4 linked regions of the Notamacropus eugenii genome follow. The protein of the gene in region 3 purifies or fractionates together with the protein of the main gene of each other region. This does not show direct contact. Links are inferred from orthologs where the notes say so. Each region holds a gene or a part of one and is shown on either strand. Other genes may lie near its edges.

Region 1 (7,841 bases), on a different chromosome or scaffold from region 3:
TGCACTTAGATACAAAGAAGGTCAGATGCATGCAAAGTTTTGGAAACCAGTGCGCACAGCACTTTCCTGGCTCAAGAGCTATTTACTGAGGTGGCAGCAAGGGAACCTTTTCAGACTCCTCCTGCTCATCCCTTCATCATCAGAGCCCTCCATCCTCCATCTCATGGACAGTTAACCCTTCCCTTCATTTGGGTTTCTTTGGCCACAGAATGCAGTAAATGCAAACTCATAAAAACATGGAGATTTGGCTGATGAAATCTAGGAAAAATTGAAGGAAAGAAGCGAGGACATCATCAGGACATCTTCCCAAAGTCACCTTAACACTATAGATGACACTCAAGCGCGTGGGAATCTCACCAGACAATCTTAGTATTTCAGCTATCAACTTATTCTCCATGGCATTTGGCTTAATCTAACATCACGTTGACTCATTACCAATTTTCTCTCTTTTCTTTACTGGGAAATCCAAAGACTGTATACAAAGTACATACAGACACTGTGGCTTCAGCTCTGTGAACACTCACCTTTTAGGCCTAAAAAAAATCACTAAAACAATACAGAACTCGATACAATGGGAACCATAACTTTGAATTTCGTGATTTTCATGTGAATTTTCAATGAATGTTCTTAATGAAGAGTTGCTCTCAGCCAGCATTAAATCTAATGGGTCTAAGCAGATGCAACTTTATGCACATTTTAGTGTAGAAATCAAGGTAGGAGGCATCATGAAATGGCCAGATACACATACTGGAGTTGGCAGAAAAGGCTGTTTTGAAATATGCACAAGGATTGGAGCTCTGTCCTTCCCTGGTTCCCAAAACTTACTTTCTAAGAAAATTACAACCTGGCTGATGGAACTTGGACAGACGTAGCAGTTTAGAGTCTCCCTGCCTCTCACAAAGTTAAAGAAAGAAAAAGTGGTTCAAAGAGTAACTTTTATCCAGATTAACTTTAAGAATAACCTAGCTTTTAAATTAAACATTCCTAGAGCAACAACCCCCAAACCCCCAATGCATGATAACTTCAACTTTAAAGTCACAGCCAATCAAATGGCTCCGAGGAATTCCATAGGCCCTCTCAGGTTGGCTGCATCCTATGCGATGGATACAGAAAGAAGAAAGGATGCTAAAGAAACCCTGTTATTTTCTCAGAAGATACTATGTAACTGCTGCTTTACGTAGCTTCATCAAACCTCCCTTTCCTGTCCTACAAAAACCCCTTGTGTGTTGGAGATGAGTTTCTCACTGTATCTGACTTTACTAAGTCACTTTCGCGACTTCTCTCCTGACCTGGATGGGGCCCAAATTCTTGGCTAAAGTTGGATGTGTGTTTAGAACCACAGAGATGCAAAGTTATAATTGTTTTTTGGGAGGGGGGGGAAGACTTGGGTTAATCCTTACATATTTTAGGTGCTTATTAACTTACCAATGTAGTTTTATTGGAGGCCATTTTTTATTGCAGACTTGAAGAGCTTTTACTAGAAAAATGCATGACAGTTAAAAGGAAGTTTACATGAGAGAAAAAGCTAGTTGAATACAAGTTCGGTCCTGATTCCAACCCCCACGTATGCAGCACACATCTCTCTCTCGACACAAGCGAGTTTGGACAAAGTCCAGTGGAGAAGCCCCCTCGGAGCTCCTGCGCACGTTCGGGGTGGCACATACCTAAGCCTCCATCAGCATGCTCACCTAAGCCCGAGCACTCGCCAGCCTTCGTGGGGAGGGGGCGGGGCGGGGGCACACACAAAGCCCGCGGCTCCCCAGACTGCGGGGCAAGGAGCCCCCGGGGCAGTTGTCGGGGAAAGCGGGCAGCAGTACTCCCAAGCGAACCCCCCCAGCCCCACACTGGAGATCTGGCAGATAGCCTGCAGACCCCGGAGCTCCCCCGACCACCCTGAAGCCGGAGCCTTCACGTGGCCGCCCGGCCGCCCCCTGCCCACGCTCCCGAGGCCAAGGCCAAAGGGAGGCCGCGGTCCAAGGCCAGGCCGCGCTGCTGTGCCGACCATCAGCCGCCCCCCAGGCCCCTCCCGGACCGCTCCCTAACCCCCCTCGCCCGCCTCAAGGACCCCAGCGGGGGCGGGAACAAAGGCCCGCACCGCGCGGGGAGCCGGGCCTGGCGCCGGATGCGCCGACCTCTGCCAGAGCTAACGGGACGGGCCCGCGGGGAGTCCGGGGGGGAGGAGGACCCCGTGGCCGCCGCGTACCCCGCCCGGCGCGCCCGTCCAACCCCGACGTGGGCGCCCCCTGCCCGGCCCGGGGCCCCGGGAGGGGGAAAGGGAAGGGGAGAGCAAGAAAGGCACCGACTTCACCGCCGCTCCGGGTTCAGGCCGCTGCTGCTGCCGCCGCCCGCCTGCGTGCGTGCGAGCGAGCCCTGCCCGCGGCCGCCGCTGCTTGCTGCTGCCTCCGAGCGAGCGGGCGAGACGGGCCCCGGGGCCGCGGCGGGCGGGCGGCTGCGCGGGGCTGGGCCGGGCCGGGCTGGGCTGCGCGGGCCGCCGCTGCTACCGCTGCTGCTACCGCTGCCGCTGCTGGGGCTGCCGCTGCCGTCGCTGCTGAGCACGGAGGGGAGGGGGGGCCCGAAGGTGGAGCCCTACGGCCGGCCGGGGCGGGGCGATGACGTCAGGGGCGGGGCTCCGGGCGGCGGGAACTGACGGGGGGAGGGGCGGGAAGGGCGTTCGGCCCCCGCCTCCGGGCCGTGCAGCGCCGAGGGCGGGGGGGGGGGGCGGCGGCGCCTGCACTTACCGTCGCAGGCGACGGTCCCCGGGGTGGGGGCCAGGGGGCGGAGGGCGGTTGCGGAAGCCCCGGCGGCCGCGCAGGGTCGGGCTGGGCGGGGACTCCCCACGCCGGCGTCAGGGCTGGCGCCAAAACGCGGGCCCGCTAGGACTTCCTCCCTACGGGTGGGGGCGGGGTCGACATCTGGTGGGGGAGGGGGCCGCGGGAAGAACGGGGCGGCGGAGTCGGGGCCCCTTCGGGCGGGCCCGACCAGAGTCGAGGCCCCAGAACGGGGGGCGGGGGCGGAGCCGGGGAGGGGGCGGACGGAGCCCGTCGGGGCCCCGGGGCGGGGGCGGGGCGGGGGCTGTGTAAATTTCAAACTGCGCGACCGTTTCTCCCCCGCCCTGCGCCGAGGCGGGGGCCGTGCGCAATTCTGAGACGCCCTCTACGCCTCCTCGCGCTCTGCGCCCGGCCCCAGGCCGCGTGGACGCCAATGGCGCCAGGCACCGCCCTGCGGGGGCGGGGTGCGCCGTTGGCGTAAGGCGAGCGCAGCCCGGCCGCGCCGTTGGCGGCCGTTAGTGCGTCTGCGCAGCCGCACTGACGTAGGCGGAGGGGAAGACGCGTTGGTCGGAGGGAAGGTTCTAGAAAAGCGGCAGCAGCGCGAGCGACAGCAGCAGTCGCAGCAGCCGCCGCCGCCAGAGCCGCCGCCTCCGCCCGCTCCTCCGGCTCGTCGCTGTGCTCTCCGGCCGCCCTCGCTCCCCGCCTCGGACCCTGCGCCCAGCAGCCGGCGGCGGTGCGCTTTTCTTGGCCGCGGCACGGCAGCCCCCCCCACCGGCGTCAGGACGAGTCCGGTTCGCGCCCGTCCGCGGAGATCCTTCTCATCTCGCTCGGCTGCGGGGCCCCGGCCTGAGGCGACCGACGCCGCCATGGAGGTGAGTCGGGGCCCGGCCGGGGCGCTGGGAGGTTCGAGGGGGAGGATGGCCCGGCTACCCCCCCCCCCCCGCCCCGGGCCGCCGGCGCCATTAGCCTACGCGCGGCGGGGAGATGGGGGAGGGGCGGCCGGACCCAGGGTGACCCCCTCCCCCCCCCCGGCCCAGGCCGCCCGAGAGGCCCCGCCGAGCCCGAGGCTGCCTTCAGCCCGCCTGGGCCGGCCCAGCTTCCCGCGCTGGGCCCGGCCGTTTGGACGGCGGCAAAGTCGTGGGAGAGGCGCGGCCCCGCGGCGCGCTCCCGACGCCGCGCCCAGCGCCGCCATCTTTCCGAGCCCGGTCTCCCGCCCCGCCGCCCCGATCCCTGGTCTTGGTCCGGCCCGGCCGCCGTGGTCAGGCCCCCTCGGGTCGCGCGGTCTCGGCCCGTCTCGGTTCGGGCCAGTCGCCCCGGACCCCCGCTCGCCCACCCGTCCCTGAGGCCGCGCCGACCTTGGCTGCGAGAAGTGACGCCCTGGGCCCCGGAGCCGGCGGGGAGGGCGCCCCCGGAGGCCTCGGCGTGAGCGGGGGGCGGCCGGGCCGAGGCCGGGCCCGGGGGGAGGGGAGGGCGGCCAGAAAAGCTGCTGCGCCATCCGTGCCCATCCCCCCTCCCCCGGCCTCCCTCCCGCGCGGGACCACGTGCTCGGCCCTGTACAAAGGGGGGGTGGGGCGGCCTCCCGCGGCTCGGGGGGGGGGGGGGGGAGGGGAGCGGCGCCGCGTGCTCCCCCGGGACCACGCGTGCGCCTGCCGCTGTTGGGGGCCGGGAGGCCCAAGGCGCTGCGGGGGAAGGTTCTCCCCGAGGCCTAATTAATGGAATCCGGGGCCGGCCCAGCGGGGCGTCGGAGGAAATTGAGTGATAAAGTTCCAGCCTCCGCCCAGCCAAACGGCCGGTGTCCCGACGCGGCTGCGCCCTTTGTCTGCGGGCTTGGGGGGGATCATGGAAGTCCCTTAAAAGGAACAGGATCGTTCTACCTTCAGGGCTAGACTTAGCGGCGTCGCCCCGAGAGCAGCGCTGCTCGGGGGAGGCCGAGCGGACGCGGGGCCCCCGTTTAGGCCTGGCGGTGGCTCGCGCTGCGGGATCGAGGGTTAGAGTTTGGGTCAGGGATGTTGCTGTTGCGAGACACTTCACCGAGTGCACCCCGCTGACCCCAAGGCTGAGCTTTCACAAACCACAGGAGAGCTCGCCGGCCAAGGTCACCACAGAAAAGGAGGCGAAACGGGCCTCTCCATGTCGTGCGCTTTCTTCTGTAGACACCACGTGGCCATGCCCTGAGCATGGCGGGCAGGCAGTCTTCCTTGGAGTCTGAGCAGGTTCTGGCTGTTCTTTGCCTTCCGTAAAGACTTAAGGATTTGAAGCATCACAGTCTTAGACGTACTTGAATCTAATTTTAAAGAGGTTTGCAGCCCAGAATAGAAACGAGTGAGAACTGGGAATCTTACAACTTGGAAAAGAAGCTGTAACAACTAAATACCGATATTTGTGGTATCTTCAGAATTCAGGCTCAATAAACCTAGAGAACCTTATTTTTTAAAAGATGAACTTTTCCAAAAAACCCTTTATGTTCTAAGTCTCAACACTACTTGAAATTGTGATTCACTTTGTTGCAATTTACAGCTTTGATTATTGAAAACTTGAATGAGGGATACATCTGAATAGTTTCAAGGAAGTTTGTTAGGAATTAGTATTTCCACAAGTACTTGACGCTGAATTTTTTTTAATTATCTAAATCTCTTTTGAGACTTGGGAAGCAGTACTCCTATTATCCTTATTTGTCTTTGAGGATTGTAGTTGAAACATGTTTTTATAATTGACTTTAAGGCTGTCTGCAGTTTGACTCTTAACTTGAAAATGCAAAAATCACTTCTAAACTTTAGTGAAATGTGTGTTTTCAGTACACAACGATGATCATAGGATCATCAGTTACTAGAGCAGGATTACACTTCCGGTTCACCTGAATTACAGTAGTCATCTTAAAATTATTTTTAATCCCTTCTGCCACTTAGATGTGTGATCTGCATCAATTTCTTCATCTGTAAAATAGTGCTAATAACTTGGTGGAGTGGTTTAATTAGTATCAAATGAGATGATTTGTTTTGGAAAGCTGTAAGAATTCTATAAGTTCAAGGTGTGTATTAGGGCTCCTCTGACTTAAATTTTTGGGAGTGTATTAACTATAAAATTTGGAAGTGCTAGCTCCCTGTGTAATTTGTGGAAACTGTTTTCAGCTATTAAGTTTTTTATTCCGCATAATAAACATGTGAACTAAATAAAATATTTCAGGTTATGAGGCCATTAGTTTTTACTAATAAACAATGGTGAAAAATTTTTAAAAGTTATTTTTTTCCTCCTAAACTGGTGGACAACTTTGAGTAATGAAAGAAGTGTCCCTTTCAGTTCATTTATGGCACATACTTGGCCTGTCTTGAGATTTATTGGAACCATCGCTAGAGGGCACACAGGAGATGGAAATTAATCTTCAGCTCTGAAGTTTACCACACTGGCTCTGGTTTGAACACTCCAGAAACACAGAAACCTTTTGATGATCACTCTAACTATAGATGGCTTATATTTATAAAGAATTCAGAAAACTTAAGTGAAAATAAGCATTTAGGAGCTCCATAAAGTACCAGCAAAAGTGACTAAATCTCGGTGCTCCTATTTTTGTTTGCAGAGAGAAAAGGAACAGTTCCGTAAACTGTTTATTGGAGGCCTGAGCTTTGAAACCACGGAAGAAAGTCTGAGAAACTACTATGAACAATGGGGGAAACTCACAGACTGTGTGGTAAATTGTCTTTGAACTTCTTGACAATGCAAACTTAAAAAATGCTTTGACGTAAATGCTGTTACATTGTATTTATTGGGTAACAGATTCAGTTTTCTGTTTTATAGGTTATGAGGGATCCTGCAAGCAAAAGATCAAGGGGATTTGGTTTTGTAACATTTTCATCCATGGCTGAAGTGGATGCAGCTATGTCTGCAAGACCTCATTCAATTGATGGAAGAGTGGTGGAGCCGAAAAGAGCAGTAGCCAGAGAGGTGAGCAGAAAGGAACTTGACTGAGGGTCTAATTGTTCTGCAATGGTGAACTTGATCCAAGTCTTTCCAGAGGCTGTGAGTTTAAAATTTTGACCAGCTTTTCTCTCCCAGCCTTTTTTTTTTTTTTTTTTTGCTCTCTTTGACCATTTGGTTTCATAGCAGGAAACACATTTTCCTTAGGTGAAATGTATGGTTTAGTTTGCAAGTAACATTTTGTATTAATATCCTTGTGTCCTAGGAATCTGGAAAACCTGGTGCTCATGTTACTGTGAAGAAACTGTTTGTTGGTGGAATTAAAGAAGACACTGAGGAACATCACCTTAGAGATTACTTTGAGGAATATGGGAAAATCGATACTATTGAAATAATTACAGATAGACAGTCTGGTAAAAAAAGGGGCTTTGGTTTTGTTACATTTGATGACCATGATCCTGTGGATAAAATTGTATGTAAGTAAATTACAACTTTTGTTTTCTATGTAGTGTCTTTGGAAAAACTTTTTTGTTGCCCTTTTTCTTTTAAAGCATTGAACTTTTCTCCAAATTAAAAAAAAAAAAGATTTAAAAATGCAGGATGCTGGTTGATTCTCAAATTCTGAACTTGTGTTTCAGTGCAAAAATACCATACCATCAATGGCCATAACGCAGAAGTCAGAAAAGCTTTATCTAGACAAGAGATGCAGGAAGTGCAAAGTTCTAGGAGTGGAAGAGGAGGTAATGTGGTTCTCTTCTCATCAGACTAACTGCCTTATTCCGGGTGAGGGAAGCTTGGTGCTAATGTGAGTGATTGTTTGCAGGAAACTTTGGTTTTGGGGATTCCCGTGGTGGTGGCGGAAATTTTGGACCAGGCCCAGGAAGCAATTTTAGAGGGGGATCTGGTAAGTCCAAATGCAGCATAATAGTTGAGATACAAACAGGCTCAACTATCGAATACAAATAATTCTTAGAATTTATTTGACTTAAGTCTTGCCAGTCTAATAAAAGTTTACCATCTCATTCTCAGTACTTTGAAGAAACAAATTTTCTTTTAAATGGTGTGCTTGTCACCATTTGCATGCTTAATAATAATTTGAAATGATGGCTGGACATAACCAGTGATTACACACCAAGTGTGTAATTACCCATGGCCTTCAAG
Region 2 (7,997 bases), on a different chromosome or scaffold from region 3:
CCCCTAAACCTCAATTGGTGTACATGTGCCACATTCATCAGTTAAAATCATGGTAAAGTGCTGTCCAGAATATATTCTGCCCCCATTCCCACCTATCAAAGAAAGCTTCTGGGCATTATTGTCTCACTCCAAACCCAACTTTACATTTTCTTTTATGTTTTCTTACTGAAGGATCTGATCTCACTTCAAATATGCAAATGATAACTAGCATTTATACATCAATTCAAGGTTTGCAAAGCATTTTACATATATTATCTTATCTCAACTTCTAAACAACCTTATGAGGTGGACACTATTATTAGCCCCATTTTACAGAGGATGAAACTGAACCTGAGAAAGGTTATGTGACTTGCTCAGGGTCACATAACTAGCATCTGAAGGTGAGAGATATCGAAAGGAAAGAAACAATAAATTTTTATAGCACCTACTCTGTGCCAGGCACAGTGCCAGTAAGCATTTTTTACAAATATTATTTCAATTGAAGCAGAATTTGAACTCAGGCATTCCTAACTCCAAGTTCAGTGCTTTATACAATATACTACTTAGTAGCCTCATAAGACAACTCCTCTACACAACCTTCATGAAGGATCTGTGTCTAGTAGAAAAGCCAGGCATCCATTAATAGGAATTAAACTGAAAATTCAAATCTCATTTGCTTAGGAAGCATATTCAAACCATGAAATGGTTGCAATAAGTAGGTTCATTACTCTGCCAATCTCCGCAAAAACGAAGGACTAAAAAACTTCACACAATTCTTATCTGTTCTTCTTACTAAACAAAGATTATTTGCATTCTTTGAAGACTCAATCACTGACACTATTAATAAATGTTCAATAAGTACATAGCATGTTACATAGTACATCAAAATCTGAAACATATTTTATAAAACTTTTCAAGAGAGTATTTAGTTTGCAATGGGAGCTTATAATCAATAATTAAAAGCAAGATCCCTCTTGAACTTCATATTTCAGAAGGCACCTGACATGCTGCCAGAATACTGTAGATTTCCAAATTATCTACAGATAATTTCATGTTTCTTTCAGAGACTCTTTAAATATTTAGCATTTATATAGCATTTTAAAGTGCTCTACACGTTATCTCATTTGATCCTTATAACAACCATTACCGGTAGGTGCTGTCATTATTCCCAATTTACAGATGAGGAAACAGAGGCCTCCACTGGCCCCTGATTACATCTACTAAGTGTCTGTGGGAGAATGCAAATTCATCTTTCTGACAACAGGGCTTTCTTTAAAGCCTCGTGATAATGTAAAAGACACCTGGCTCCATCACCAATCATTTCCCTTTCTAATAAGCTCAGTTTCACCCATTTGGGACAAGAATTTCTAGCAGGGTGGTCCTTTCAAAGGTGCATGTGGACCAAGAGCTCCTTCAACTGGAGTCAAGACAGAAGAAACCACGATAAATAATTTACTGTTCCTATCAGGAAGCAATGATTCAGTTAGTTTTAACAACTGGTTCCACTGGGCTCTTTACCAAATCTCAAAGGAGGAGAAATGAAAGGAGGAAAACATCGACAAGAGAAGGAACAGCTTAAACCAGTCCTTCTGCCCAGTGTGTTTGTTTCGGGGAGGAGGTGGCAGAGAGGGGCATTTTTGGAAAGGGAATGGGGCTGGTTTCCCCATAATATGAACACGTAACAGGAAGCCAGGGGCCACATCTTCATTTCTGGCACGAATAAGAGTCACTCCTCCCTTCTGGCTTCTGGAAAGCAGCGGCCATTGACTCAGAGTTAATAACGGCTCCCCTTTCTTTTATATACAAGCACACCCGGCCTCTCAAACACAATCCTGCGAGTGTGCTGTTCTCACCATTTCACAGATGGGCAAAGTAAGGCTCAGAAACAGTGACCCAAGTGTCCGGGACGGCCGTTTTAAAGCCGGTTCTACCTGTTTCCAAACTCAGTTGTCTCTACCCGCTAATCCACGCTTCCTACGCACATCTCCTTTCCTTCCCGACCTCGGTCAGTTCCGTCAGCCAGAAGCTCCGAGAGCGCCACCTGGCCGAGGCCGCCCTCCTGCGGCGGAGACGAGGCCACGTGACGGACAGGCCCTTCCGGCCCCACCCCCACCCCTCGCCGGCAGCACGCGCTGCCAGCCTCCTCACGTGACCCCGCAACTCCCCAGCCGCCCGAGCGGCCATTTTGTGGGAGACCTAACCATGCGTGATCGCGGCGAGCCCGCTCCCATCTGCCGGGTACAAGCTCCCCGAGGGCCCGCGGGCGGCACACACGCCCCCAACCGAGCCTTCGGGCCGCCCCAGTTAGAGCGAACCGCAGTGAAACATTCTGCACCCCAATGCACATCGAACCCCGGGCCTCCGGGAATGCGATGCCACCTCCTCAGTCTCTGACTGGCCCACTGTTGTCACGTGACGCCAACCCCCAATTCCCCCCCTCAAAAATTCACCTACATATACACTCAACACCTCGAGCCCGGAGCAGTCTTTAACAAGCGCGCGTGGGGGCCCGACGTAACGTATGGGAAACGCAGTGCGCCTGCGCGTACCTGTCACGGAATAGCAATCGTTAGCCAGACCCACGCGCCACTCCCGCTCACAGGTCCGGGAAACATCGCGCAGCCTAGCCTACCGCGGCCGTCATTGGAGGCCAGGAATGGTCACGTGCCCCTTCCGGGCCTGCCTCCCCTCCCCCCGACTCCTCCCTTTCCCCCCCTGCACCGCGGCTCATCACCTCCATTGTGGTGCGAAGCAGCTACGAAACCCGGGGCTTCGTGCAAAAAAGGGCAGGTCATTGAGGCCGTGGCTGCCCGGCTTTCGCGCCCATGAAAGCCCTAGGAAAGAGGAACGGGCGCCCAGGCGGCAGCGTTCACACTTAGCGATCCAGTTCCATTCTCCTCTCTCGAAGGTGGAAGCCGGGGCGTGAGGAGGGGAGGGGGGTCGTCACCCGATTGCATGTTGGGAAGGTCACTCCGCCCTGGGGTGACCGCAGGGCATGCTGGGAGAGTGGTCTTCCTTAGCGTCTCCAGGCTTCTAGATAAGTCGACTTCCTCAGCCTCCCGGTCCTGGGCAGCGTTTGCTATTTGGAGACCGTGGGGTCCAGTGCGAAGAGCTCTAGTCCGGGTGTGGGGAAACCTAGGTTAGGCGGCCGGCCGCACCCCGAACCGCAGCTCAGTGTTGGGGGCCGCCACCTCCCGGCCCTTCGCGTCCATCCCGGGAGCAGGCGGCTGCTGCGTGGCCACTGCGTGCCTGGAGGGATACGGAGAGTGTCCTCTTCGTCCTTTCGGGGCAGGTGAAATGAAACAAAGTAGCCACTTGAATGTTCAAGAGAAACAAAGTTACGGGGGAAAGCCTTAGGTTAGGACATTCCACACTTCTGGTTCAGGAAATCCCGGGCTCTCTCCTGCCTCACCTCTTAAAAAGGAGTAGTTAGCATTTATGCATCACCGTAAGATCTGCACAGCCCCGTACATCTGTCATCCCGGGCGACTTGGCCAGCTTCTACTGCCTTGTGCCTGTCTCATCTCCCCTAGCCCTGGTAGGATTGTAGCCCATGTGAGGGCAGGGTCTGGGCTCACCTGTGCATCCCCGGCACGTAACCTGAACGTAGGAGATGCTTCATAAATATTCTCCGACACTGTGGACCTCAGTTAGCGAGTTAGGGCCGGCGATCTCCCTCCCTGGACCTGGGTTTTAAATGATGTAGGTAATCCTTTGAGTCCTGGAGCAACGAGAAGTGGGGAGGGGATAGAAGAGGGCAGCCACAAAGCCCGTAAGTGTCAGGGTGGAAACTTGATCGTCCTAACCCTAAGGTAGACTCGATAAGCCATGATGCCAGGCTGCCTCCCAGATCATAAATATAGAGTTGAAATGGAGGCATCAAGTAACTAGCCCCTAATTGGGCAGAAAAGGGAGAGAGATCATTTAGGGAATAAAGATAGTTGTGGATTTCGGTTTATAGTGGATGTGGGATGATGAACGTGGGTCAGACTTCACCTGCTCTCCCTGAGTTCACCTTTTTCACTTTCAAAATAATCTTTACCGTCTAGTGCCAACCTACCCTTCTGGTATTATTTCAAATCCATTTCCACGTGTTAATGTTCTATTTCAGAAATCCCTGAACTTTTGCAAATAGAAAAGATCTTTTCAGTTATCTGAGCTCATAGGATTTTTTGCCTTTAGGCAGTTATATTTAAATTTGTATTGTTTATATCTGTTTACCTGACATACCAGCTATTTTGCAGTTACCTTAAGAGCAGGGACTAAATTTGAATTCTACATAGTAGGCACTTAATACATTATTGTTGAATGAATTAATTTCATACTACACTTCTTTGTGGAATTTATGTATCTGGTCTACTTGTCATCCTCCAAATATATAAAATGTTTTCTTGCCTCCATTCCTTTTAGCAAACCATGGTAAATGTTCTCCCCAACATCTAATTATACTCATCCTAAAAAGTACACTCAAATTTTACCTCTTCTAAGAAGTCTTCCCTGATTCTACCAGCCAGAAGTCATCTATTCCTTCTTTCAGCTCTCTGTACCTTGTTCATATCCATTTTCCTATTCTATCTTGTGTTTTTTATCTGCTCTCCTCCTCCTAAAAAAAAAAAAATTTCCCTTAACCGTACTAGACCTCCCAAGATATTATTCTCTCATCTTCGTCAAACTTGTGGAAAAATTAGTCTGTACTGCTTGCCTCCACTGTCTCCCCAGCTTCTCACTTGCTTAGCACTTTATCTGACTTCTGTCCCCATTTTACTGAATGATCTTAAAGGTTATTAATTACTTTTTTATTAGGAAGTCTAATGGCATTGGTATCTGTGACATTGTACTTTGAGGGTTCTCCTCCTTTGGTCACACTCCTGTCCCTCAAATGTCAGTGTCTCCCAATGATCTGTTCTTAACCTTTTCTTCTTTCTTTGCCTTGTCTCCCTTGGCAATCTCATTTATTCACTTATTGCTTCAGTGATCTCTAGGGAGACAAATCCCAAATCTGTGTTTCTACCACCCAAACTTACCTTAGAACTCCAATCTTTTATTTCCAACTACCTGCTGAATATCTATACCTAGATATCCTACTGATTCCTTAAACTCAGCATGTTCCAAACTGAATCTTTCCCCTGTAAATTCTATTTCTGTCAAAGGCAACACCATCATCCCTGTGTTCCAGGCTCATAACCTTATGGCCCTCCTTCTCTTCCCTCTCATTTACTCTTCATATCCAGTCAGTTGCCACATCCTATCATTTTTACTTCACCACTATGTCTGATATCTGATCTCTCCAGTTATGATATAACCACTCTAGTTCAGACTCTGACCTAAACTATTATAATAGACTCCTAACTGGTCTTTTAATTAGACTATTACCTCTTCAGTTAATCCACACTACTGACCAAGTAATCTTCCTAATGCTCTGCCAGTGTCTTGTCACTCTGCTCTCCTTAGCCTCCAATTCAGGCACTCCAGGGTTTTATAGTTTCTGTCATGTCCAACGCTGTGATCCCATTTGAGGTTTTCTTGACAAAGATACTGGATTTTGGTTTGCTATTTGGCTTGCCATTTCCTTCTCCAGCTCATTTTAGAGATGAGGAAACTGAGACAAAATAGGGTTAAGTGACTTACCTAGGGTCACACAGCTAGGAAGTGTCTGAGGCTGGATTTGAGCTCAGGAAGATGAGTCTTCCTGACTCCAGGCCCAGCACTTTATCCTCTATGCCACCTACCTGCCCTTTGGCTATCCTAAATTCCAGCCAAAATGGAATGCTATCTGGCACATTCTCTCCTTCTGGTATCCTCCATCTCTGTGCCTTCCTTCACACTCTCCCCTTTACCTGAAATTTATTTCATACATTCTCCCCTCTGTCTTTTCAAGTACTTTCTTTCATTGCAGACCCAACTCAGATGTTTACGTCTTCTATAAAGATTTCCCTGAGTGTACCTACATAGAGTATACATAGATGAAAGTGATCTCTCCCTCCTCAGATTTCTTCATACTTTGCCTGCCACCACCACCACTCCTTTGCACTTATCAATTCTCCCTAATATCATTATTACTCATTTATATGTCTTTTCTCTATGATACTTCCTATGAAAGTGAGATCTGTATTATATCTCTTTGTATCCCCAGCAGCTTGCATAGTACTTTCACATCATCGGTACTAAAACTGTTTTTGAATTTGAAGTTCGTGTACATCTCTTTCCTCTTTGGTTTGAGCTCCTGGAGGGCAGGAATCTCCCACAGCGCTGTGCCTTATACATTTTGTTTGGCCAGACGTGGTTTCATCAATATAAGGAATTCCTAATGTGGAAACTTGACTTTGCTGGTGTGGATTGGTTACCCTCTCTAACTTACACTATTGATTTTTAATATTTAATAAATATTTGTTTGCAGAACTTACCCACAACATGCCACACATGAGACACTTTCCTATATAGACATATTCACGTAGAGACAGCATAGGTTCCACAAAAATAGAATTGCTTTTCTACTAGGGTAGAGCTTGGAGCAACTTTCTCAGATCCCTGTGTAATGTAAACATGCAGCTAGGTGGCACAGTGGACTGAGTACTGGGTTTGGAATCAGGAAGACTCATCTTCCTGAATTCAGATGTGGTCTCAGATATTTACTAGCTGTGTGACCCTGGGCAAGTCACTTAACCCTGTTTGTCTTAGTTCCTCATCTGCAAAATGAGCTTGAGAAAAAAGTGACAAACCACTCCAGTATCTTTGCCAGATAGGGTCATGAAGAGTCAGAAATGCCTGAAATGCTGAACAGTGACAAAACAAGAGTAATGCAAGCACGTGAAGCTTGAGCTATGCCAGTGCACTCACTAAGCGTTTTCAAATGCAAATTTAAATCCCACAGTTCCAGCCTTGAACCACAAGCTCATTACCATCTGACCGTAAATTTTATTATCCTTTACAAAGTGTAAAATGATCCAGGCACTTCTAAAAGGGAGTTAGGCCCTATAAGGCACAAATGCACTCTGAAGTGGGAAGAGCCTTTACCACTCAATTGTCTCTATAACTTGCTCCTTACAAGGTAAACATTTACTGAAGTAAAAAAGGGGCAGAACTTTACACTTGAAAAAGAAGCAGCAGCTAAGTAACACAGTGAATGGAGTGCTAGACTTGGAGTTAGGAAGACCCAAGTGCAAATCCTACCTCGGATACTAATGGTCTAACTGGACAAATCATTTAACTTCTTTCAGATTCAGTTTCCTCATGTAGAAAATGGGGGTAAATGTAACACCTACTTCATAGAGTTGTTGTGAGGATCAAATGGCATAATGTTAAAACCACTGTATAAATGCTATTATTAGAGAAGAAAACTGGTACTGCTAAATCCCAGAGGAAGCAGAATGGGTTGGAATCTAACACAAAGGTGGAAGCATTAGGTTTAAAAAAGGAAAAGGTACTTCTTTCTCTGATTCACATGGAAAGGCAAAAACAAAAAGGACATGTATTGTGTTCCTTGTGTTGCCAAGGAGATAAGGATATTGCAGATAGACACCTGCTGGTTAAGAAGGAAATCCCCAGCATTCCCCTCCTTGAACCTTCAGGGAACTGAATGAATTTTGCCCTTGAACCAGCTTGAATGACAAGCCCACTCTAAGTGGGGTGAGAAGAAACAGCATCAGAGCAAGTATACTAATCTGGCAGGAAAGTCAAATATATAATGTATATAAGAGCTCATTAGATAAGTGGTCAAAGAACATAAACAGGCAATTTTCCAAAAAAGAAATGCAAGGATCAGCTATCTCATGAAAAAAATGTTCCAGATCACTAATGAGAAAAATGCAACCTCATGCCCATCAGATTAGCAAAGATGACTAAAAGGAAAATTGCAATTGTTAGAAAAGCTATGGGAAGACAGGCACATTGATGCATTGCTAGTGGAGGTATGACTTGATCCAACCATTCTGGAAAACAATTTGGAACTATCTTATACGTATCCTTTGACTCAATGATACCACTTATGGTGAGGCAACAAGCATTTATTAAATGCTAAT
Region 3 (7,499 bases):
TAATACTGAAGCCTATCACACAAAAACTTCTCAGGTTGAGGATAAATTTATAACTGAAATAAATTTAGAGAAAGAATATAGTAATCCTAAACTTCCGGTTCCTACCTTTTAGTTTATTGTTCATAACCAAGCTACCTTTGAACTATCTTTGCATTCCATATACAGTAATATTCCAAATTATGGAGGCATTTTCCATTGTTATTCAAAATCCTAAAAATGCTGTTGGGAATAGCCAAGATCTAGTTATTTCTTTAAAGATTATTTTTAAAGAATTTTTTGTTTTGTTTTTAAATTCATAAGACTGACAGGAAAACTAAATCCCAGCAGGATACAGCAGTTTCAGAAGTTACCCAGATTCCAAGACACAAATCATGTGGAACACATTAAGCAGATACACTAAAATACAAGCCCAGGGTACTTTTGAAGCCTTATGGTTGTTATGGACTGCTACAGTTTCCATACTATAGGCATAAGGATGTTTTCTGTTTCCCTAGTGAGCTGAGAAGCTCATTTGCTTATGAGACAACCAGGAAACAGAGCCGAAAAGTGCAAGCCAAAGTCAGCTTTGTGTTGGAATTTCAACTGCCTTGCCTTCTGTAGCAAAGCTTGAAATGCTGCACTGATACTCTGCAACCAAGACTCATACTGCAGATGAAAAAAAATCTCTACTGCAGCTCAATTAGATTTCAGCTTGACAATGGGAAGTATTGAAAATCTGTACTGTAAGTAATTATTTCACCTGCCTCTTAGATCAGTAGTTCTGGATGTAGCCTCAACACTAACTTCCATTACTTGCCTTACATCAAGCACGTACCAGTTGAATGAGAAGAGGTAAATGTCTATTTTTGAAACTTCCTATTTTTTCCATCAGAAAACCTTAAAAATCACTAGACTAGACATTGTAATTTCTTCATTTAATTTAGGGAGAATTCTAATTTAATTTAAAATGTCTTACCAGAACTTCTGGTTGCTCTAAGGGGAAACAAGTCATTATAAATAATACTAACATTGGCCAAAGAATCATTGAAAAGAGAAGGATGGAGGTGGGAGAGAGGGATTACATCATAAGCACTCACTTTACAAGTCTTCTGGCAGACCAAAAAACACACAGGTATCAGGCCTGTTTTTTTTCCCTCATACAAATCCCAGGTTTTAATTAGCAACCCTAACCCCTAGTATATATCTAGGAAAGGTTTAGGGGATCTGGTGGTCAGGACCCGGCAAAGTTTAAGTCTTTTGAAATCAGAAGGAAAGGAAAAGAGAATGGCATCAAAGAAATGAAAAGCAAGAAAATAACATTTAGTAGATGGCCTAACCACTTCAAAAAAATAGTGAAATATTTGAGTAGGGAGAAGACCAAGCCAGGAACTCTGACCAGGAACACACCAGAGGACTACTGGCTGAAGAAATGAGAAGAGCTCTCCCTCTGCCCCCAAATGCATGAGCTAAGCTCAGGTGAAAGGCTCTGGGTAAAGACAAAAACCTACCTCCTTCAGTGAAAGATATAGCCCCAGCCCCAGGGAGAGAAGGGGTCATTCCGAGGATGTGGCTAAGAGAAAAGTGTGATTGGCTGGACAAGGAAAATGTGCAATTAGAAAGGCGGAGATCCCTGAAAATAGGAGAAGCCCATCCTACAGTCTGACTCAAAATTAAGGGTTTTGAGTCAGGGGATGAGGGGCAGGGAAGTGGGCCATGGCTGATACCATGAGGGGATCACTGAAGAAAAGGAAATCCTGTTCTCTATTCACAACTAATGGTTCAGAGTTTTTAGGGGAGAGGAAGCAGAATGAGTTAGGCTAAGGCCAGGCTGTGTGAGTAAAAGAGTGGAATGGGGGAAAAGGAACAACTGAAAGGGTAGTTATTGAAAAAAAAGGGAATGCCACCCTCTTAAGCGTCACCTGGTCGTTTCAGGATCCATTTTTCTTATATGTGATAAGGGGATATGAGGGAAAACACTTGGGGTTTGGCTGCTTAGAGGTTAGGGTGCACTAGAGATAAAACAGGTAACAGAGCTAGTGCATTCCTTCTGAGTCCAAGCCCAGATGTTTCTAGATGGGGTAAAGAAAGGGTAAAAACGGGGATTTCACTGTATAATGAAGCATCCTGAATCCAAATCCAGGTGTTTCAAAGGGGAGTTTTTTGGGCTTTTTAGAGGAGTAGGGGACAGTGTGACTGTATTATTAGGTGAAAGTGATCTGTCCCTACTGACCTGGAAAAAGGGGTGCAGGTGGATGCTGAGTGCAGTCCCGAGGAGCTAGTGCAGCTATGAGAAATGGGGAAGGAGGTAACTGGAGGTACACTCCCAATTCATGGAAAGCTATTCCTAAAGGTGTTGGAGGAGTAGGGGAGGAAGAGCAGAGGCAACTACTGCAGCTTTGGGGCTTGGCCAGCCTGAAGAAGGCACGGGGAAGGAGTCTGAGGAATGGGGGGCACCGCCTTGGTCGCTGCCAAGGTATTTTTGGGAAGACTGGGGGACAGCTGAAGAAGGGCAGGGTAGAACTGGGGCCTGTCCTTCTGGGGAGGAGGAATGGGGAACAAACGAGGTCCACGCTTAGGAATGATGGGGTGGGGGAAACGGAGAGAGCGTCGGTGGTTAGCCGGAGGGGGGGAGGTGAGGAGAACGCGGACACCAGGGCGAGGGGGCCCCGCAGGCTGCATGCGGGTGAGGGGCACTGGGGGCCCGGAGGGGGCCAGATTCTCCTCGGAGAAAGGGGGCGCACCCCGGGCTGGCGAGCAGGCGGCCCTGGCGGCGCAGGCCCGTCCCCCGCGCTCTGGCAAGCGACCGGGGTCCGGGGTCCGGGCGCGGCCGTTCCTCCCGGCTCGCAGGCCCAGCTCCAGGCCGGGGTCGGACACGCAGACGGACGCCGCCCTCCGCCCGCTTACCTCACCTCCGCTCGGGGCGAAGCCTCAACAGCCGCCACCGCTCATGAGGAGCGCAGCGCGGCCCGACCCGGGCGAGGACGGACGACCAGGCGCCCGCCGGGACCAAGTGGAGGTGGCAGCGGCAGCGCAGGCTCCTCCTCCCGGCGCCAGGCGGGTAATGTGGAGTGGCAGCTCCCCGGGCGCATGCGCGGCGACAGGGCGGGGGCGAGCGCAGGGGCGGAGCGAAGGACCGAGAGAGGGAGGAGGAGGGGGTAAGGACACAATACCAGGCTGTTTCCGAGATGGGCTACGGCAAGCCGCGAAGGCCGAAATTGTCAGTAACTCAAACTCCTTAAAGGATTTACTGGCGTTTCTCGCTGCCCCTTTATGGCAGAGTGGGGAAGACGTCCCCTAATCCAAACCCCTCCTTTTACAGATGAGCAAAACGAAGTTCGGAGAGAAGGGACTTGTTGGGACCTTAGAGATCCTCTGGGCAGGAGGGGTACGCGACTGATGAGACAGACAGACAGAGAGGGAGAACAGAGGGACCCACGAGAGACGGAGACACCGAGACACAGACGAGAGAGGGGGAAGGGCGAAAAGAGAGACCGAGAAAAAGACAGACGGACGGACGGCCTGGGGAGCGGGGGGAGGGGGCCAGGAGGCAGAGGGCGGGAGGAGCGAGAGTTGGGTCCTTCCAGAGTGTTTACATAGCTAAACCTTCTCTTTCCTTTCCCTCAGACGCCCATAGATCGCACCCAGCAGGCCCCGGCCCAGGCTCCCCATAAGGGCTGTTTTCCAGACCCTCCCGCCTTAAGAGTGATTATCAGTGGTAACTGTTGCCGTTTCCCTCCCAGCTGATGTACTTCTTTTTCTTTGCCTCATTAAAGGGGCCGTGCCCTGATTCCTTCTTAAAGAGGCCTGTTCACTGAATGGGCATTCCTTCACTCTAAGTGAGTGCCTGCATAGGCCCAGGTCTCCCAGGGCATCCCGGGCCATCTCCAGTCCTCCTGAGGAATATCTGTCACTGGATCCACATGGCTCTGGAGGAGAGGTGAGGCTGGTGACCTCACAGCCCTCCCTCCCTCACTCAACACAAGTCAAGGGCAAGTCATGTCATCATGTCTCTGGTGGCATGGTCTTCTCCAGCAAGGAAGGACGAACACACACAACATTCTGAAACCTTAAAACTTCACTAAGACTTTTAGGAGACCCAACAAACACACACAGCATGGGAAATTGTATTTGTGTGTGTGTGTGTGTATACACATATGAGTGTGTATATTGATAATGTTTAATATAAAATTTTGGAATAATCTCTTTGTTCTCTCTGAAGCAAACTCAGAGGGTGCCTCTTCCTATGTCAACAAAGCCAGCCAAGGCTGACTCTACATTCCTTAGGAGACCTTTAACCTAAGACACTATCTTGAATAATGGGACTTTCCTTTATATCTTATTATCTATAGACATACACTATGTTATGGCATATTAATGGTAAAGAAAATATAGACATCTTAGGTCGTAATTTCTATTAAACTTTGTTTACCCTTTCCTATGTCAGTTATCTGTTTAGGGCAGGAAGCCTGCCACTCACTAGTGGTAGGATTTCCTTCCTTGTCACCGGGACATATGTTTACCCAGCCTGGAATCACAAGGCCTGACCAACATTACTTTGTTAATTGTCTTGTCTTACTAAATTTATAATTTGTTCAACTAGGAGAGTTCCTTTCTCACAGCAAAATGTATATAAGCCAGAAGATTTCTGCACTAGGTAGCCAGAACATTTCTGGCTCCATAATGCATTATGTTACTGTTGTCTTTAATAGGGAATTGATTAATTAATTAATTAAATCATAAAATGTATGCATTTAGCCTGTTGCCTTTTCTTTAACCAAGTTTTCAGGTCAACAATATCTAGGTGTAGAATTATATACATACACATACATGTTTAATTTTCTGTGCCTATTTCCTATACATTTTCACAATGCACAGCTACGTCTGTAATTTCCTATACATTAGATACATAATGGCACGTATATACAGGTATGTTATGTGTGATTTCATATACTTGTGCATTTTTTCAGAATATCCCAAGAGTCTTAGTGCAGTTTTAAATGTTAATAATGTAAAAAATTTAGAACATATATACACATACACATATGCACGCATATATACATACACATTTGTTTGTATAAGTACGTCTATATATGTATCTTCTGAAAAATAGAAATAAGGGACGGGTGAACTTCATAATATAGTGGAGAAAACATTGTACTAGGAATGAGGTGATAATTTAAGTTTCCAGCTCTGAAACCCTGGGCAAGACAATTCCTGTGCCTCAGTTTCCTCATCTGTAAAATTAGGGTAATAATGCTTCCTACTTATAGGGTTGATGTGAAGAAATTGCTTTGGAAAAATTAATGGATTTATATACATATGTATATATACTATCATTATAACTATTATTGCAACTGTGAGGTGTGGGAAGGGAGAAGAAAAGAACTGGCCTGTCAGAAGGCATTGAGGTCAGAAATAAAATGCCAAGTTCAGAGATTAGGTAGTTTGACTAGAACATAGAGTTTATTACGGAATAAGAAATAAAGCAGGACAAGTAGATGGGAGCCAGATTGTAGAAGGCATTGATTACCAGTCTGAGCAGTTCATATCTTATCCTGGGGTGGTTATTATGTTTGTCTTTCATTTTCAAAGAGGACCATGGCATCAAGGGAATGATGACATGACTTGCACTTGACTTTGATTTGAGGGAGGGAGGGCTGTGCAGGTCACCAGCCTCACTTCTCCTCCATAGCCATCTGAATCCAGTGACCAGATATTCATCAGGATGACTGGAGACCACCCAGGATGCAATGGGAGACCTTGGCCTCTTTAGGCTAAGGCTTTTTCAGGTACTCACTTAGAATAAGGTAACACTCATTTAGTGAATAGTCCTCTTTAAAAAATGGGGAGCCACTAAAAGTTTTTGAGTGGAGAAATGACATCATCATACCTGTATCTTAGCAAGTTTAGATTGGTAGGTATGTGGTCAATAGATTAGAAAAGACCATAGGTTTATAGCTAGGAGAAACCTCAGAGATCATCTAATCTACCTGTTCATTTTTCAGATAAAGAAACTGAGGTCCAGAGAAGTAAAATGACTTGGCTAAGGTGGAACAAGTTAAATATATGGCTGATTTCCCAAAAAAGTTATTTCTACTGTACCATGAGAGACTGGATATAGTGAGATCAATTAGGCTATTATAATACTCTAATCAAGAGGCCTGAATTAAGGTGCGGTGCCAGATTGAAGAGGATGCATATGAGAGACATTAATGGATGTAGAATCTACAAGTCTTGGGAACTGGTTGTATATTAAAGGGTTGGGAATGAAAGAGAAGGAAGAGTCAGTTATTGCTTCAAATTACAAATCTGGGTGACTGGAAAGATGGTGGAACCCTCAGAAGAAGATGGAAATTTGGAGGAGGGGCAAAATTTAGCGATAGGGGAAAAGATAATCAGTTTTATTTTGGATACGTTGAATTTGACTTTAGGTAACCACACAACCCTTCTGATCACAGCATCAAATGAGTATTCCTGAGCATTTCTGGAAATTTATATTCTCCCAAGTTATTATTTGAAATTTAAATTAGGAAAGGCAGTATGGCAGAGTGGAAAAAACACAGCTGGGAATGTGGATTTTGATCCTGGCTTTGTCGCTTAATTTATATCATCACTTTATGTATGCCCCAGTTTATATATTTATTCTGTACAATAAGGGGATTGGACTAGATGGAATTCAAGGCCCCTCCCAGCTCTTACTTCCTCTGTAGTATTTCTACAGATTTTAGCCCTCTCACAACATCCTTAGGCTGTTAGTTGGAACATACCCCATGTTGAGAAATACCCTTTCTCAATATGGGGTATATTACTAAGCAAGCATGGACTCCTTTGGGATTCCCACTTAATAACATATCTTCAGTCCTCCACATCTATTTTTACTCAATCCATAGGGAGAATTTGTGACACTTTCCTATGTAGTTGGAATGTGAGATTCAGTTGACAACTTGATAAGCAAGAGCAGCACAGCCACATATTACTTGAATAATCTCATTCAGGTTCAAAGCATATGAAATTAGTTAGACTGGAGACCTTAAAATAATGTCTTATATTTAAATAATGCTCCACCATTTCAAAGTACTTTCACATTTCTTTTACAACCTTGTGAAATAAGTAGTTTAATGAAAGAGTTAAAAAGCATTTATTAAATGTTCATGATTTCCCTGTGCTGGGCTAAACACTGGGAACACAAATACAAGAATTCCTGCGTTCAAGGAGTTTACATTCTAATAGGAGACAACACATGAAGGGGGGTAGAGGCCAGAAAGGGATTTTTATGGTTGAAAAATTGTGGGGATGATGAATAGCATCATTGGGGGTTAGAATGATGAACCCTTTCCAGTAGCATTGGCAGTATTCATTTTGATTCAGAACTAGAATGGAGAAGGAGGGGAGGGGAGGGAGGACAAGGTGTTAGAGGCAAGAGATGGTGAGAAGATGACCTGGGTATAAAGAATGTGAGGTGGGGGTGAGAAGTTGTCTACAAAGTGGGGGATATGATCTGCCCCCAAAGAGTATGTGAT
Region 4 (7,294 bases), on a different chromosome or scaffold from region 3:
TACCGTGTTGTGTATGTTGGATGTGTGTTGTGTGCGTTTGGCATGTTGCTCATGTTGGCACATGGGACAGGGCCTAATTTGAGATTATTTAAGTAATATTTATTTATTTCGTTTACGTATTTATTGGAACCCTAGGGGCCGAGCATGCCTTGTCACAGGGGGCTATTTTTCCATGTCTCATTCAGCTTTGTGCCACAGTGACCATGGGTAAGGAGGTATAGCAGGAGTGGGAAGGGTAAAAGGAAATGTCCCATGCTTTACCTCCTTTGTTTGGGGACCCCTCCCCTCAGCTAAAGATCCCTCCCTAACCCTAAATTCCCAGATTCTTCCCTAGACTTCCCCATCTTTCTCCCAGCTGTAGCAGAGCCATGCCTCTCCCTCCCCCCCACCATTGGCACCTACCGAGTCACCACCATCTCCATGCTGCCCACAATTACCACTGTCATTAAAGTCTGAATCACAGCCCCCCTGTGTCTGAGAAGTCTGTGCCCCACTATCATATATGAAGGGAGTGGGCTGGGGACTGGGAAACAGAGAATAACAGTGCCCCAAGATGAGAATCCCTAATTAGAGAGGGTGGGGGCAAGTGTGTGTGCCAGTGCAAATGTGTGCAAAGGGGGTGTGGGTGGGGGAAAGAAGACCAGCTTAGAATGACCAAGATGGGATCCAAGAGCTGGAATCCTGAAATGCCTATTCTTTCTCAATAATATACCAACTTCAGAGAGACACTTTGACCTGGATTGCCCCCTCACTGGGCTCCCATCCAAGAAGGACTACAGTTGACCCTGGGGGAAAGATCACATGGAGGACCATACAAGTCCCAGAGCCAGCTGTCCCTTGGAGAATGGATACCCTTTCACTCCCTGGGGCCTGGAAGGGGAGTGGGGTGTTGGATTGGGATATCTCTACATAAATCGGAATATAGGGGAGGCTGAACAGAGTCTGAGTCCCTTCACAAACAGGAGGGATGGATTTCCTAGGTCGGAGGATCAGAACACGCCCATCGACTACTTCCAATTTTCCTTCCTCATTTCTTAGAGAATACCACAAACAAAGGGGTCCCAAGAATAGGAGACCTTTTCGATTGAGAGCCCCTATAAAGAAGTTCCATTTTAAGAAGGCACCTCCCAGTCAAGGCCTAGTCTGGTGACCACTAGAGGGAGACAAGGTTCATGAAACACGAGCTCTGGGGACCAAGGCCTAGAGCGCTCAAGGGAATTCAGAGCTATTGTATAGTCTACACAGGTCTCCCCCATTATTATAGCTTGAGATTGCCTTTTCCCTCACCTAATATCAACCTGCTGCAGAATACGGGGATCTAATTCCTGGTGGACAGGGTCCCTCATTGGACCCCTTCCAGGACCCTCAGCCTGCCCTGGCAGGGTCACACACCCATCACCCGAATGTTAGGGACTTTGCTGATATCCTCTTTCATACTCTTTTCTCTACCCTTGTCTTAAATGGCTGCCCCTTCCTGTGACTCATTCATTCCTTGTTCACATCTTAGTTCTCTCTCTATTGCCCATTCCCCATCCATTTCTTAGTCACTCCTCTTCCTATTTCTTCGCCCTCCAACCCTGTCCCTTCTCTACAGGCCTTTCTGTTCCCTCTCTCTCCCAGGTATAAGGGAGGATTGGGTTACTAACTCTGCTCTGCCTGGGCCTCCCAGGCCCCTCTCTCTACTTTCCCTTTGTGTGGTTGCTTGGTGACTACTGGCTGAAGGGTGGGGGTGGAGAGAAGTGGTGTGAAGGATTGGGGTGGGGGGCTTGTGCAGCTGGTTGAGTGTGGAAGAGAGAAATAACCTAGTTTCTCTTCCACATCTACAACCTTAGATGGGTCTCCATCATGCCCCACCCCCACCCAACACACCCACCACCCAATGCCTTAGTTTCCCATTCTCAGCCTGGAGGAAGCAACCATTCTATTCTCCCCTGCCCCACCCCTTGGTGGTCAGTAGAGAAAACAGAGACTGGGGAGAAGGCTTGAAGCTGAGACTTGAAGTGAAGCCCAGTTTGAGGCAGAAAAATGCAGAATAAGGTGGGGAATGAGCGAAGTTGGGTGTATGCAATGGGAGGAGCCCTTCAACATGTGAGGTAGGAAGTAAGTACTGTCCAAGGGCATAGGATTGAAGGGGAATGTGATCAGATCCCAAAGGAGAGGGAGAAGAAAGGGGAAGAATGAGAGTGGACAGATAAAATTTGGGTGAGAGTACTTGATTTGGGACTGTTTCCTCTCTTGGCCATGTCTGTATCCCAGCAGTTTGGAATGCTGCCTGATGTTTTCAGTCCCACTCTCAGCATCATCCTTGCCCTCTAGACAAGCCTGGGGAAAGTGGAGAGGAGAGCAGCCTAGGGGTGGCGGTGGGGGGGTCCCAGGATGCACTGTCCTCCCCACCCTTGAAGGCAAAGCGGACTTGGATGGCCAGGAACTGACTTTCACCTCCGGCTGGGCCTGGTCCCGGACATTTTTCTCCTGACTTCCCACACCCCCCTCCCCCCCATCCAAGGAAGTGGAGGGGACTCCAAATCCACAAACTCCAGGTCCAGCTCTTCTTAATTGCCAGCTTCCTCCTCCTCCTCCTCCTCCTCCTCCTCCTCCACCCCTCCACTTTCCTCTGGCCTTCTCAGTCTCTGCAGCCAAAAAATCACCCAGTGTTTCTAGGTCCTTTGTACTGGGAGATGGGACAGCTGGGTGTGGGACGGTGAAGGGGACCTGGAGACCACGGTTGGGAGGAACTGAGGGTTTGGAATAGGAGAGTAGTGGTCATGGTGGGGGCAGGTGGGTTTTATACAAACTGGCAACAGGATAAGGGAGATGGAAAGGGTGGGTTTCCAAGGGGTTGAGTGTTGGGGGAAGAAAGGGGAATATTTCCAGGACTAGTAAAGAGAAGGGGGGCAGTGTTGGGAGGGGCAGAACAGTGGTTGGAGAGTGCCACAGACATTTCTGGGACACGAAAATGGGTTTAGGAGTTTGGTTCAAAGTGCGGCTTATCTTCCACTTTTCCTCCCCACCCCCACCCCATTTCTGTCCTTCCTTGTGGCCTGAATGACCTTTGCTGTGGACAGGGTAAGACAGGCCACAGAAAGGGGAGAGGCTAAAAGAGAGTGGCCAGACCCCAAGGGTGACCCAGCTGGTCTCCCTGCCTCCCCCTACAATCTCTACCTCTCTTTCAGCATCCCCCTCCCAATAACCTCCTACTTCCCCCATTTCGTCCCCAGCTCTTTAATTTCCTTGCCGTGCCCCCACTTCCCATCACTTCACCTGTACTGCCCCATCTTCCTGCAGACCCCCTTGGCTCCCCAGCACATTCCCATTAGCCTTCCTTTCTCCCCTTTCCCCCAGCCTCTCCCTAGGATTCCCATCTGGCCCGTCTTTCCCTCTCGGACCCTCCTCCTTCGTTCTCTTCTGTCTCCCCCACAGATTTCCCTCAGTCCCCCAAGTTTATCCCATCGCCGCCTTTCCCCCACATCGCCTGACCCCCCAAACTTCTCCCCCACCCCCTCCCCGTCTGAACTCTCGATCTCGTCTCTTCCCCACATACCCCCTCACCCCGAACTCCTCCCACCCCCCAATTCCGCCCCCACTCCCCGAACTCCTCCCACACCCCCGTCTCCCTCTCACACACCTCATCGCCCACCGAACTCCTCTCATACTCTCCGTCCTCCCCAGATTTCCCCTGCGATCCCCCGACTCACTCCGTCGCCGCCCCCCGAACTCCTCCCACGGCTCCCCCTGCTCACATTCCATCACCCCCAGACTCCCTGCAGGCCCCCCTCGCCTTTCTCTCCGCACCTCGCTCCTTCCCGCTCCCCCTCCCTCGCGCCCCCTCTCCCCTCCTTCCCTCCTCTCTCCCTCCTTCTCCTTCCCTTCCTCCCTTCTCCCATCCCCCTCTCTCTTGCTCCCTCCCTTCCCCTCCTCGTCCCTTCGCCTCCCGCTTTCCTGTGCGAGTCTCCGGACGCGCGGCGGAGCCCGCCCGCAGCCCGCGCCGGCCGGGGGCCTCTCTCCGGGACACGCTTCTGGGGGGGCTGGGGAGCACGATCGGATCCGAGGGAGGGCCCGGGAGGGGGGCCGCGATCGGCCCAGAAGAGGGGCGGTAGAGCGGAGGGCGGAGGGGAGGAGGAGGAGGAGGAGGGGGAGGAGGAGGGCTCGGGCTCGGAGGGGGCCGGGACCCCGGGCCCGGGAAGGCAGCGGTGTCACCGGCGGTGGGCCCCGGGAGGGGCCGGGGGAGGGCGGCCGCAGGGCGGGGGGCTTGCGAGGGCGATCGAGCGGCCCGGGGGGGATGGGGGCCGCCCCCGCGGGGCCCCGAAGCCGCCGCCGCCGCCGCGACTGAATCCGGGGCGGGGAAAGAGGGGCCCGGGGAGCCGCCGCCGCCGCCCCCCGGAGCCCTGAGCGCCGCCCCAGAGGAGCCTGCCCTGCGGAGCCAGCACCCGGTAAGATCTGCCGTAGCCCGAGTCCCTAGATCCCCGGCCCAGGGCCCGCTGCCCCCCCTCCCCCGCCACCCCACCCTTGCTCCCCGCACACCCCACCCCCAGTCGCCGCCGCCGGCGTCTCCTCCATTTGTTATTTTCTTCGATTAAGGTTCTCCCCACTTTCCTCCCCCCACCCCCGCCCATTGCAGGCACTGCCCGCCCGGAGCCTGGGGGCGGGGGGGGCACAGAGGTTGTGGGGTCCCCAATTGGGGGGTGGGGCAACACAAGCTGAGGGGGAGAATAGGAGAGGTGAAAGTGAAGAAAGCTTGGAAATGTCGGGGCTACGGGAAAGGTGGGAGAACCTTGGTGGGGAGACGGGGTCCAGAAGGGAGGTGGGGTGCAGGGGAGAACGGGGAACGTACGGAGGAGGAACAGAAGGGAGAAGCAGGGAAAAAAGAGTCCGTAGGGTGCAGGGGTGAAGGAGCGGGGGTGGGGAGAAGGGATGGCAGTGGTGTACGGGGAGGTTGGCACAGGAAGGTCTGAGGACCCCCAGAACGATTTTTCAGGCACGTAGGTGTAGGTAGCAAATGGGGAGGGGGTGTGGTAGATGGGAAGATGAGAGGTAAAAGAGAGCCTAGATAGAGGATAAAATAAGAAACGGAGTTGGAAGCCTGTAAAAGCTGAAGAAAATAAGAGATTGGAAAGGAGGCAACCAAAGGGTCTCTCTGAGGTCAGGCGTTTCTGGGGCCCCTGCACGGCCTTCATCCTCAGTCTTCTTTTGAGCAGAAAGTCATCCGGACCCCTATTCTCTCTATTCCAAACACATCTACTTCTAAGTAGAGGGCATCGAGATGTAGGGACCGGGTCCCTCAAACTGATCAGTAAAGTCAGGAGCAAAGAGGGGAATGTCTGGGGTGTGCAGAAGGGACTTAATAGAGAAAGGAAAGCAGGTAGGCAGTGGGAGGACTCAGTCTAGTAGAGCAGTTCAAGAAAATTGGGTCTTCAGGTATGCAACCTGTTCTTCTCAGCCCCCAGTTCCTCACAGTGCCATCCTGTGCCCACCAGCCATGGTGCAGAGCTTCTTCTATACCACAGCCTTTAGCTCTAAAAGACCCTTAAGGGATTCCTTCCTAATAAGGCCAGACACCTTATAAACCTCTTTCCCTGGAAGGCAGGAGTTAGGGGTGGGCCCAGTGACTTCTTGTTTATGGCAGCTCTGGGAGTATTGGCAGCTAGGCTCCTAGATGAACCCCTGGGGCCTGCTCTCAGTGGGACTCCAGTGTGGAGTTTCCATGGCAGTGGTGCCTCTAGCTGAGTTTCTCACTTGGTCCAATGGGGTGGTCATGTTTGTGGGAGAGATTTGGTTGGACAACTGTTGGTGGCTTTATCCTTTAGGGTTCTATATTCCCACAAACACCTACCAAGTAAGGCTAGTCCAATTTCATTCTGGCTGTTGGGTTGGGCATCTCCATCTTGGGTAAGGACTCCACAGGAAGCATCATGTTCTTCTGAATCAGCTTTCTCCAGCCTTCAGATGGTCCCTGCCCGCAGTAAAAGTGGAAAATTTACATGGACATTCACCATGTTCCTTCTCTAAAGTCCAGTGGGTTGAGAACAGATATGCTTTTGTTGAAGTCACTTTTACCGTTTTTCTATCGCTTCAGACTTCCTCAACTGGTTCCACAGCTATCCTTCCATTTTCTCATATACTAACTCTCCCTTATCCCAAATATTTCTCTACCTCTTTTCAGGCCAATTCCATAATGATTTCTTCCCTTAGTAGTCCTTCTACCTGCCATCTCATTGACTCTATACTCATGGCCTCACTCTTTTTTCCACCTTTGCCAGATGAGAATATCCCTTGGGAGAGCAACAGGTAGTGATTTGGTAGGGTTGTTTGTAGGTGAAAAAGCCCTGGCCAACATTTGGTCTTTGAATAGAAGTCACGTTGTCATTGGAAGGTTGTTCCAATGTTGGTTTAAGTTATCACTCCTGTACAGCCTGGCAGAGCAACAGAATGTAGACTAAGGGTCCTTAAACTCTTCACATCAGGCTCTCCTAGTACCTAGCCAAGTACCTGGCTTGATTCTATATTCTTGATCCCCTATCCTCATTGATTCCTCAGGTTTTCCTGTTCCCCTTTGCCTTTGCTCATTTCTCTCTCTATGCTGCCCCCTCTCTGGCCTTACTCCTTTGCCCTCTGAATGTCCCTCTTCTCTCTCTGCACAGGTGACTAACTGCTAGGGAAGAGAAGGTGGCTCTACTATTTGGTGCTTTAAAAAAAGAGGCTCGTATGTATTGAACACTCCCTACCAGTTATTATCCAACCAAAGAACCTTTTGGGTACCCGAGTCAGGCTGTAATGTTTCTCTTCGGTGACTTATTTTCCTCTTCAAGGCTGCTTAGTATTAACTCACTTTCACTTGATTTTATTTGTATAAACATATCAGGGATGAGGACACACACTGGTGCTACCTCTACCTAATTTGGAGATTCAGGGAATAAGTTGTGATAGTAGTAGTAGGTCATGAACAAAAAGTACCAACAGAGATGGGATCATCTAGAGAGTGGAGCTGACATTTGGGAAGGACAAGATGGACACATTCATCTTTGTAGTGTTTTTGGTATGAAATTTCCCTTCCCCCACCTTGTTGCATCTGATTTATATTTTCTAGGTTGATACCTAGTATTTTGAAAATCATATCAAACATCTACATATTAATTGGCAAGAGTACAGGTGAGGAAGGTCTCATCTAGTGGTCAAAGTAGCAGATGATGGTGTTATGTGACTTTGGGCAAGTCATGAATTCTTCTTAGGCCTCTTTCCCCATTTGTAAATGAGATGAATCATCTCCATTCCTCCCTGTCTTAGAAGGATAGAATGA

Evidence for each region.
Region 1: the proteins of WDR5 (region 3) and CBX3 purify together in Homo sapiens (affinity purification with mass spectrometry; 3 studies listed by BioGRID and IntAct, with this or other methods). This does not show direct contact. The link is inferred for Notamacropus eugenii from reciprocal best matches to the Homo sapiens genes WDR5 and CBX3.
Region 2: the proteins of WDR5 (region 3) and MGA purify together in Homo sapiens (affinity purification with mass spectrometry; 5 studies listed by BioGRID and IntAct, counting the BioPlex papers as one, with this or other methods). This does not show direct contact. The link is inferred for Notamacropus eugenii from reciprocal best matches to the Homo sapiens genes WDR5 and MGA.
Region 4: the proteins of WDR5 (region 3) and ATN1 purify together in Homo sapiens (affinity purification with mass spectrometry; 4 studies listed by BioGRID and IntAct, counting the BioPlex papers as one, with this or other methods). This does not show direct contact. The link is inferred for Notamacropus eugenii from reciprocal best matches to the Homo sapiens genes WDR5 and ATN1.

What each region holds. Positions count from the first base shown.
Region 1 is NC_092874.1:17,305,258-17,313,098, reverse strand, and holds the start of CBX3 (chromobox protein homolog 3), read right to left. Parts: upstream 3,001-7,841; 5' UTR 2,739-3,000; intron 2,456-2,738; exon of another isoform or gene 2,304-2,455; intron 1,478-2,303; 5' UTR 1,450-1,477; coding exon 1,426-1,449; intron 1-1,425. Other genes in the region: HNRNPA2B1 (heterogeneous nuclear ribonucleoproteins A2/B1), read left to right, coding at 3,635-3,640, 6,343-6,453, 6,561-6,707, 6,946-7,156, 7,319-7,420, 7,504-7,584.
Region 2 is NC_092878.1:27,734,844-27,742,840, reverse strand, and holds the start of MGA (MAX gene-associated protein), read right to left. Parts: upstream 3,003-7,997; 5' UTR 2,714-3,002; intron 2,641-2,713; exon of another isoform or gene 2,529-2,640; intron 2,515-2,528; exon of another isoform or gene 2,434-2,514; intron 2,058-2,433; exon of another isoform or gene 1,911-2,057; intron 1,907-1,910; exon of another isoform or gene 1,833-1,906; intron 1-1,832. UniProt on the Homo sapiens protein: Functions as a dual-specificity transcription factor, regulating the expression of both MAX-network and T-box family target genes. Functions as a repressor or an activator.
Region 3 is NC_092872.1:486,764,808-486,772,306, reverse strand, and holds the start of WDR5 (WD repeat-containing protein 5), read right to left. Parts: upstream 3,013-7,499; 5' UTR 2,884-3,012; intron 1-2,883.
Region 4 is NC_092874.1:195,317,943-195,325,236, forward strand, and holds the start of ATN1 (atrophin-1), read left to right. Parts: upstream 1-4,289; 5' UTR 4,290-4,430; intron 4,431-6,638; exon of another isoform or gene 6,639-6,700; intron 6,701-7,294. UniProt on the Homo sapiens protein: Transcriptional corepressor. Recruits NR2E1 to repress transcription. Promotes vascular smooth cell (VSMC) migration and orientation. Corepressor of MTG8 transcriptional repression.